Pelodiscus sinensis: one gene and its partner. The protein of the gene in region 2 interacts with the protein of the main gene of each other region in a biochemical or structural test. Links are inferred from orthologs where the notes say so. Each region holds a gene or a part of one and is shown on either strand. Other genes may lie near its edges.

What was found. The genes of interacting proteins can lie anywhere in the genome.
Region 1: of the proteins of ERBB2 (region 2) and PTPN3, one has a biochemical effect on the other in vitro, tested with the Homo sapiens proteins (2 studies listed by IntAct, with this or other methods). The link is inferred for Pelodiscus sinensis from reciprocal best matches to the Homo sapiens genes ERBB2 and PTPN3.

What each region holds. Positions count from the first base shown.
Region 1 is NC_134712.1:148,659,537-148,663,284, forward strand, and holds the start of PTPN3 (tyrosine-protein phosphatase non-receptor type 3), read right to left. Parts: upstream 2,870-3,748; 5' UTR 2,767-2,869; coding exon 2,718-2,766; intron 1-2,717.
Region 2 is NC_134739.1:11,545,218-11,548,965, forward strand, and holds the start of ERBB2 (receptor tyrosine-protein kinase erbB-2), read right to left. Parts: upstream 2,615-3,748; 5' UTR 2,489-2,614; coding exon 2,410-2,488; intron 1-2,409. UniProt on the Homo sapiens protein: Protein tyrosine kinase that is part of several cell surface receptor complexes, but that apparently needs a coreceptor for ligand binding. Essential component of a neuregulin-receptor complex, although neuregulins do not interact with it alone.

The DNA of each region.
Region 1 (3,748 bases), on a different chromosome or scaffold from region 2:
GTAGCGAGACCGAGAGACAACAGTTGGGTAGCACGCATACTCCACTGATATCCACGAGACATAAAAAGAACAAGAGGAAGGCCTCCAGCACGTTGTGTGGGTCCTTTATGGAAGATTCATGGAAGAATATGGACAAGAACCACACAAAACAGGATGGCGTGGAAAAGTTGAGATCTGCACCATTAGCGATACTATCCATATCGATTAAATCATAGATCTTCCAAGTTAGTATTTTGAAATAACAAGCGCAGCATTCACGCTACCCGCCTGTTATTTCGAAATAACGGGCTGATTATTTCAATATATATACTCCTATTTTCCTTGGGAAATAACGCTTATTTCGAAATTGTTATTTCACAATAGTGTTAGTGTGAATGATCTGGTTCTGCTAATTCAAAATAATTAGCCTCCAGAAGCCTCTCTCAGCTGCACTTGTGGCTGCTGTAGCCACACCTTGGCTGAAACTCTCCCCCAAGGCTTCCCTGAATAATACAGCCCCTTGATGTGCTCATCAAATGGCAGTGGTGTCCAGCTGCTCATATGCACTGGTCAGCCATTCAGCCTCTGCCCCCCATCCCGGCAGGAATGTCTCCCCCTCACTCTCTGAGGGTATGTCTAATAGTTAATTCAAAATAACGCCTCTATACACAAAAACTATTTCGAAATAATTTGTACTGCACAGACTGTGGCAGAAACAAGACAGTCATTGCTTCCTGAACATTGATTTCATATAAACTTAAAAGGTACAATATACAGAAAAAAGATCAAGAATCATAGTTTTATAGCCACAATACAGCAACTCTAAATATAATTTGGGGCAGCCTGAAAATACCCATTGCATTCATTTTACATCAATGCCTTGTAGGGACTGCTTCTTTGCCTGTCAAGCTGAGCCTGGTATAAGACTGATATGGGTGCAAAGAAGACTTAATGCTGCCTCGTTAAGTCCGCATTCTAGAGGCTTGCCAGGGAGATCCAAGGATTGGTTCAGTCCTCAGAGTATCCCCTGTTCATTCTAAGTTGCTTCCTGCTACCTATGGCCCCAAAGGGGCAGCTTGTCAGTTGAGGACAACTGTGCTCTGACCACCTCTCCTTGTGAACCACCACATTCCAAACACAGAGGCCTGAGTGCAGGAGAATAGCTATTGGGTCTCCCTAAACCTTCCGTATGCAAGCATTATCTTCAGGAGGCTAGTTAAGCCAATTTACAGTCTCTTTGAGCTGAGTGATGCAGAAGGGCTGAGGATCTGGTCTTAGGTCTTTCCTTTTGGGATCTATAAAACCTTCAGTAATAGGTTCAGAAAGATTCTGCCAACAGTCACGAACAAGACAAAAGTACAAAATTATCATGGAGGATTCTCCTTTTTAATGACAACCTTATCCGATTCTCTTCTTATTTAATCAGTGTAAAGAAAAAAAATCTTTCAGGAACTTGAAACAAAGAACATGAAACAAGCTACATTTCTATTTTCAGAACCAAGCTGATCCTTCTCCAAGGGTGTGTCTACACAGCAGGGCTTAACTCGAAATAAGCTACGCAAATTGAGCTATGTCAATTGCATAGCTTATTTCAAAATAGCTTATTTCGAGTTTTGGTGCTGTCTACATAACACTTATTTTGAAATAGAGCACTCTTCCTCCGACTTCCCTTACTCCTCATAAAATGAGGGTTACAGGAGTCAAAGTAAGATGTCCTGCAGCTTGACAGTATTTCAGCATTATGTCAAAATAACTTTCGGCTGTGTAGACACAGACTATGTTATTTTGAAATAATGTTGCTGTGTAGACATAGCCCTAGAAGAAAATGTTAACTGGAGTCATCCTACTTAAGCTTCCAAACCAAACAAACCTAGCAATTTGAAAGTGCGTAGCATGCCTTCAGTCTCTGCATCAGTCCTTCACTGTGGCAGGGTGTTCAACTGATTCATCAGCACACCAGTTCCACCCTGATGAATTGATTCAAACAGCTCCAGCTCCAAGTTATTCAACCCACATACATTAGTTTCCAGCCAACTAAGCTTTCAGGTTCCTGCTACATGGTTAGTTCATGTAGTGCCTAAAGTTCTATTTGCTATTGCCTGGAAGAGAGTTGATTTCTTAACATTAAAAAAAACCCTAAATTCATGATGACTTTTTATCATTCACTAGTTGTTTAATTTACCACAATTAAAGGAAATATTAGAAATTAGTATAGAAGCTCTGGAAGTTATTTTCTTGGATCAATTTAAGACTCCTGTCACTGCATTGTAATTCTCAGCTGACATTTGGACAAGCTGATAGAAAGCTTGCCAATAACTCAGAAAAAAAATAAGTTTTCACAGTGTCAAAAAAAAAAAAAGACACTGCAAGATAAAAAACACACTGTTGTGGCAAAATGCTTTCACAGCACTTCAGTCTGTCACTCAAGATATTTAAACTCATTGTTCAAGTCCTCTCGACTGAGGCAGACACTACAATACAGTTCTTTGCTAATACAAGCAATAAATCCAACATTAAATAAAAAAACCTTTCAAGATACTTCACACAAGAGTCCTTCTCTTTTGTGCTGTAAAAACCTTGATTATATTGCAAGTCTAGAAATATAAAGTTAATTGCTTCATTCTTTATAGTTTTAAGACTTCTCCTTTTCCTCTCCCATACCTAATTGCTTTTTTTCTCATTTGATCTGTCAGGTAATGTTTTTGATTCTTATATAAAAATCAAACGTGGTCACTTACACTTTTCTTGAGGACAAAAACATTTTGATAACATCTCCTGCTCCACCATAATGGTCCTTTAGGGGTGTTTGAAAGATCCCTTGAATAGCAGCACTTTGAAAAGGGAAGCTCACTTATGCAAACTTCTGATCTTCTCTCTTACGCCTAGCTCCTGTGTGCTGTCACATTAAATTGTTATTTTCCCTCCTGAGAAACCTGTAAAACAGGTCCAGGTACACAAATCTAATGTTGCAGGAGAGGTTTTAACTGTTTCATTGCAACAAATGTCCACCCTTAAAAAAATGCTCTATGTCTATGCACTGTGTTGTTAAAGGGAGTAGTTTCTTAATACTTCATTTGAAGTTCCAAAATCCACAGAATCCAACAGCCTGTGTACTTTAAAGGTAAATTAGTTTAAAATTAATTAATGTATTCGTGAAAAACACAGGACAGAATTTAAAATAAAGATTATATAGTGAATAAACTTTACCAATCAGTGTAGTACAATAAGGGTTCCTCTTTCTTTTGTGTACGTTTTTGGGTACTCTCATTAGTGTTGCTTTGTATATGTCAGTGGAGAACAGCCTTGCTATATGTGCAGTTTGGGTGTATGTTTTTGGTCATGCTTGGGTACAAATAAAAAATGCAGACAAATTAAAAATCTATCCAATTATTTAATCACTTTTAGTCATTCTTAATGTTTGGTATTTCTCTGCTTTGCTATACACATTGGCTATGTCTACCCTGGTGGCTCCTTGCGCAAGAACTTCTTGCGCAAGGGTTCTTGTGCAAGGAGTCCTACACAAGAACACGTCCACACTGCCATGTGTGAGATGTGCTTTTGCGCAAGAGCGCCCATGGCAGTGTGGATGCGTGGCAGGAGTTCTTGCGCAATAAAATTCTATAGTTAAAGCAGCTTTCTTGCACAAGAGAGCGTCTACACTTGGCTTCTTGCGCAAGAGCTACGCTCTTTTCTTATAAGTGGAAGCTGTCTTGGCAAGAGCTCTTGCGCAAGAGAGCTTACACTTGTAAGAAAAGAGCATACCTCTTGC
Region 2 (3,748 bases):
GGAGCAGAAAATCCCCAGTGATTCTTTTTAATGCCAGAGGTGTTATCAATATGCTAGATGATTTCATGGAGGTTAGGTCCATAAAAGGCTATTAGCCAGGGGGTAGAAATGGTGTCCCTGGCCTCTGTTTGTCAGAGGCTGGAGATGGATGGCACAAGACAAATCACTTGATCATTGTCTTTGGTCCACCCCCTCCGGAGTACCTGGTGCTGGCCACTGTCGGTAGACAAGCTCTGGGGCTAGATGGACCTTTGGTCTGACCCAGTATGGCCATTCTTATGTTCTTATGTATTTTGGAATCCATCTGCCTTGATGTCCCCATCCCCGGGAACGGGTTCCCTCTCTCCTGGACATTAGGGAAAACATTCATTGAAACTTTTTTCCCCCCGGATATTCCAATCCCGACAAACACAAAGCATCTTATTGGCATCTCACCTGGAACAGGTGATTCAGAATTCAGTGCCCACTTTCTGTTACGATCGCATCAGCTTCACAGGATTGGGCATGCATGTGGGACGCCCAGATACACACACAAGCACACAGGAAAACCCAAGCAGGGCACCAAACTTGGCAGGTGACGCTCTTTCAGAACTAACGTCCCACTGTGGCAATAAGGGGCAGGTTTTGGCTGATGTATCAGCTGAAATCCTTTAAGATCCTGAGGGATTATCTCATCTCAGGAGGGAGGAGGGAGTTAGCTCGACTGTCCTACCCAATTCCAAACTGAGTAGATACATTTTGCCGCTCTACATCCCCTTCACTCCTGCAGATTCAACTGAAGGAGTTTTCCCCTTCACTTTGTCCCTCAAACTGTTGGATAGTGTTGTTCTGTAGTATTAGGCAGCTAACACTGCCCACCTCCCCCGACACCAATAGGACCTTGTGAGTGAAGTTACTCCTGTATATGTAAAGTCTCTGACGGGCTGCAGGATGAGCGGTCCTCGATAAGATACTGTTATCTGAGAACTTTTCACTAAATATGGTGTATTGATGGGTATAAAGTAAACGTGCCAAATTTGCAAGTCCTAGTCCTACTTCCGCTAAGACATCAGAAAACAAACACTAAGTAAAGATTTAGGTTTCTGCTATGGATTATGTATCTACATCCAACATACTGGGCAACTCCCTTGGGCATCAGTAGCTAGAATTTCCTGTGTAAACCATGAGTGCTAACGAACTACAAAATGTAACTCGCCAATAACACTCGGCCCCACCGTATTTGACTACAGTAAACAGCTTGACACTCATCAACAGCAGACAAGATGGATGAGGTGGGAACATTTTCAATAAACAACTTGCCTTCAGCATAAAGCAACGAGGCTAAAATCTTTCTGGCCTTACCTACTTCCTTGTCATAAATACTGAAACATGCAAAATAAGCATTTACCTGTGACCCGCCCCCTCACCACAACTGACTGGAGTCCTCCCCTCTGCAATTTGTAATATAAACTCCTTTCCAGACTATTACATTTGTGGGTGAGATAGAAAACAATTGGCCGGGTAAACTATTCCTGGGAACAGGATTCATCTGGAGAGGGTGGGATTTCCCACCCAAAGCAAAATACGATTAAAACGGAAAAAAATGCACCTTGTTTCGTTTATCCAAACACCTTTGAAAGTGCTAAGTCTGACCCAGGCCTCTGCCATTGTACAGAACCATGGGAGGAGTGACTCTAGGCAGTGCCTAGCCACACAGCTCTCTAGATCCCAGCCTGCACCTTTAGGGTCTGCAGGAGATTGTCATTTTCCTAGTAAGTAAGCCGCATGGAGCTTATTTTTGTAAAGCCACTGGTTCCGTGGGACAGCCCCCAAGGAAGCAAGGGAGTGAGAGAGAGAAACCATTTTAAAAACCTGCCAAGGTCTCCCCTCCCTGACACTCCCGGGGCAACTCGATTTTTCTGGCAGGTCTGAAGGGGGGGGAGAAGGAGTCAGAGTCCCCGGGAAAGAAAAGCAGCGATCGCTCTTCGGGGCGGGATCAAACCCCACAACCCATGGAAACAGGCTCCCTACTGAAGTGGCTCTGCCGGGCTGAATCCTCGCTAAGGACTCGTGGGACCTAGTCGCTGCCAGGATCGCTGAAGTCGTGAACCAAGGCTGCACCCTTTTACCCCACTGCCCCCCTCCCTCCCCCATGGGAGGCTCATTCCTGCGTGCTCGGGAGCTCCCGGGGCAACCCCGCGCCGATCGGCAGCGCTAGGTTCGCTCTCCGGCTGGATGCACGGGACACAAAACTTCTGCAAAGTTTGTTGGGTGGGCCCCCCTCTTCGCCCCCCCCCCCTTTCCCGCGGCTGGCTGGGCGCTTCCCAGCTCCGCTTTCCTTCGCCCACATCCCAAGCTCCCCCCCCCCCCCCTCGGAACTTTCCCTCTTTCCTCGCGCCCCGCACAAACTTTTCCCCAGCCCGGACCCACCGTCGTGGCTGCGGCCGCCGGGCAGGCAAGCGGCGAGGAGCAGCCCCATGCAGAGCCAGCCGCTGCTGGGGGGGGTCATTGTCTTCACTGCGGGCTGCAGCCCATGGCTCCGGGGTCTCTGCCGCGAGGGGGGGGCGGGGTCCCCCTGGCTCTGCGAACCCAGCGTCGTGCCCGCGCGGCACTTCCTCCTCGGGGCGGCGGGGACGCGCCGCGCGCCCCCGCGCGGGATTCCAACTCCCCTGGGAGTGGCGAGGCGCGGGCGCGCCCGGAGCCTGGCGCGCGTCCTGGGGGAGCAGCGCCTTGGATGCCCCGGCTGGCTCTGCCCTCCGGGGGGCGCGCCCGGAGGCTGCAGAGGGAGGAGGAGGAGAGCGAAAGATAAAAGGGCCGGGGGATGCCCCCTCCCTGGGCCATCTCTCCCCGGAGAGGCGAGGCGAGGCTCGCCAAGCGCTCCGAGGACCGTTCCGGAGCAGGGAGCTTCCTTCCCGAGCTAGGGGACCGGGCCGGGGATATTAGCCCCTGCCCGCGCCGTCTGGGATCCAGGGGCGGGTCTTTCTCAACTCTGCAAACACCTGCAAAAGCAGCTGGGTTTTCAAGTGGAGGGGCGGGGGAGTTCGACTCTCTCGCCCCATCTTTCTGTGCCCAAAGGGGTGGGGCACCTCAGGCCCGGGGCCTCCTAGTTTGCCTGGATCTGGCCCCCGAGGCTTAGGGCGCCCCCCCCAACACTGGGGAGCCTACACTGGTGCTTCAGCCCCCCTCCCTGCAGAGCTGGAGTGGGCAAAATGTACTAGCCTAGCCCCCCAAGCTCTGGTGCAGGAGGGGAATGTGGAGAGGGTCTTTCTCTTTCTCAGTGAGGGTTTGTTGGTTTGCTTGCTTCTCACCAGTGTGCTGCCCCCGACTGATTTTTCTCTGGATCAGCATCCCCCCCCCAAAAAGGTTCCCCACCTCTGGCCTGAACGGAGGCTGAGGGTTTGAAACTCTGCCGTGACTGCGGGTGTCGGACCCTTCTGAAAATTCTGGCCTCCTGCTCTACTTTGTAAGGGCGCTGAGTGCCCAGAGGCAGGGAGTCCGTGGAGGGCCTGAAACAATCGCCCGAGGGGCAGGCACTGGCCTCGGGGGAGGAGGTTAACTCAGAAAACGAATGAGCGCTCATGGCTGCTCCGTGTGAACAGAGCTCATTTTGCTACTGGCCAAGGTGGGCGTGAACAGGATGGTGCGATGGTGCAGAGCTGGAAGTAAAGAGAGGGGTTTGGTTTATGAGCAAAAGAACGGCCACACTGCATCAGCCCGGTGGCCCATCCAACCCAACCCAGCATCCTCTCTATGATGGTGGCCAGATGCT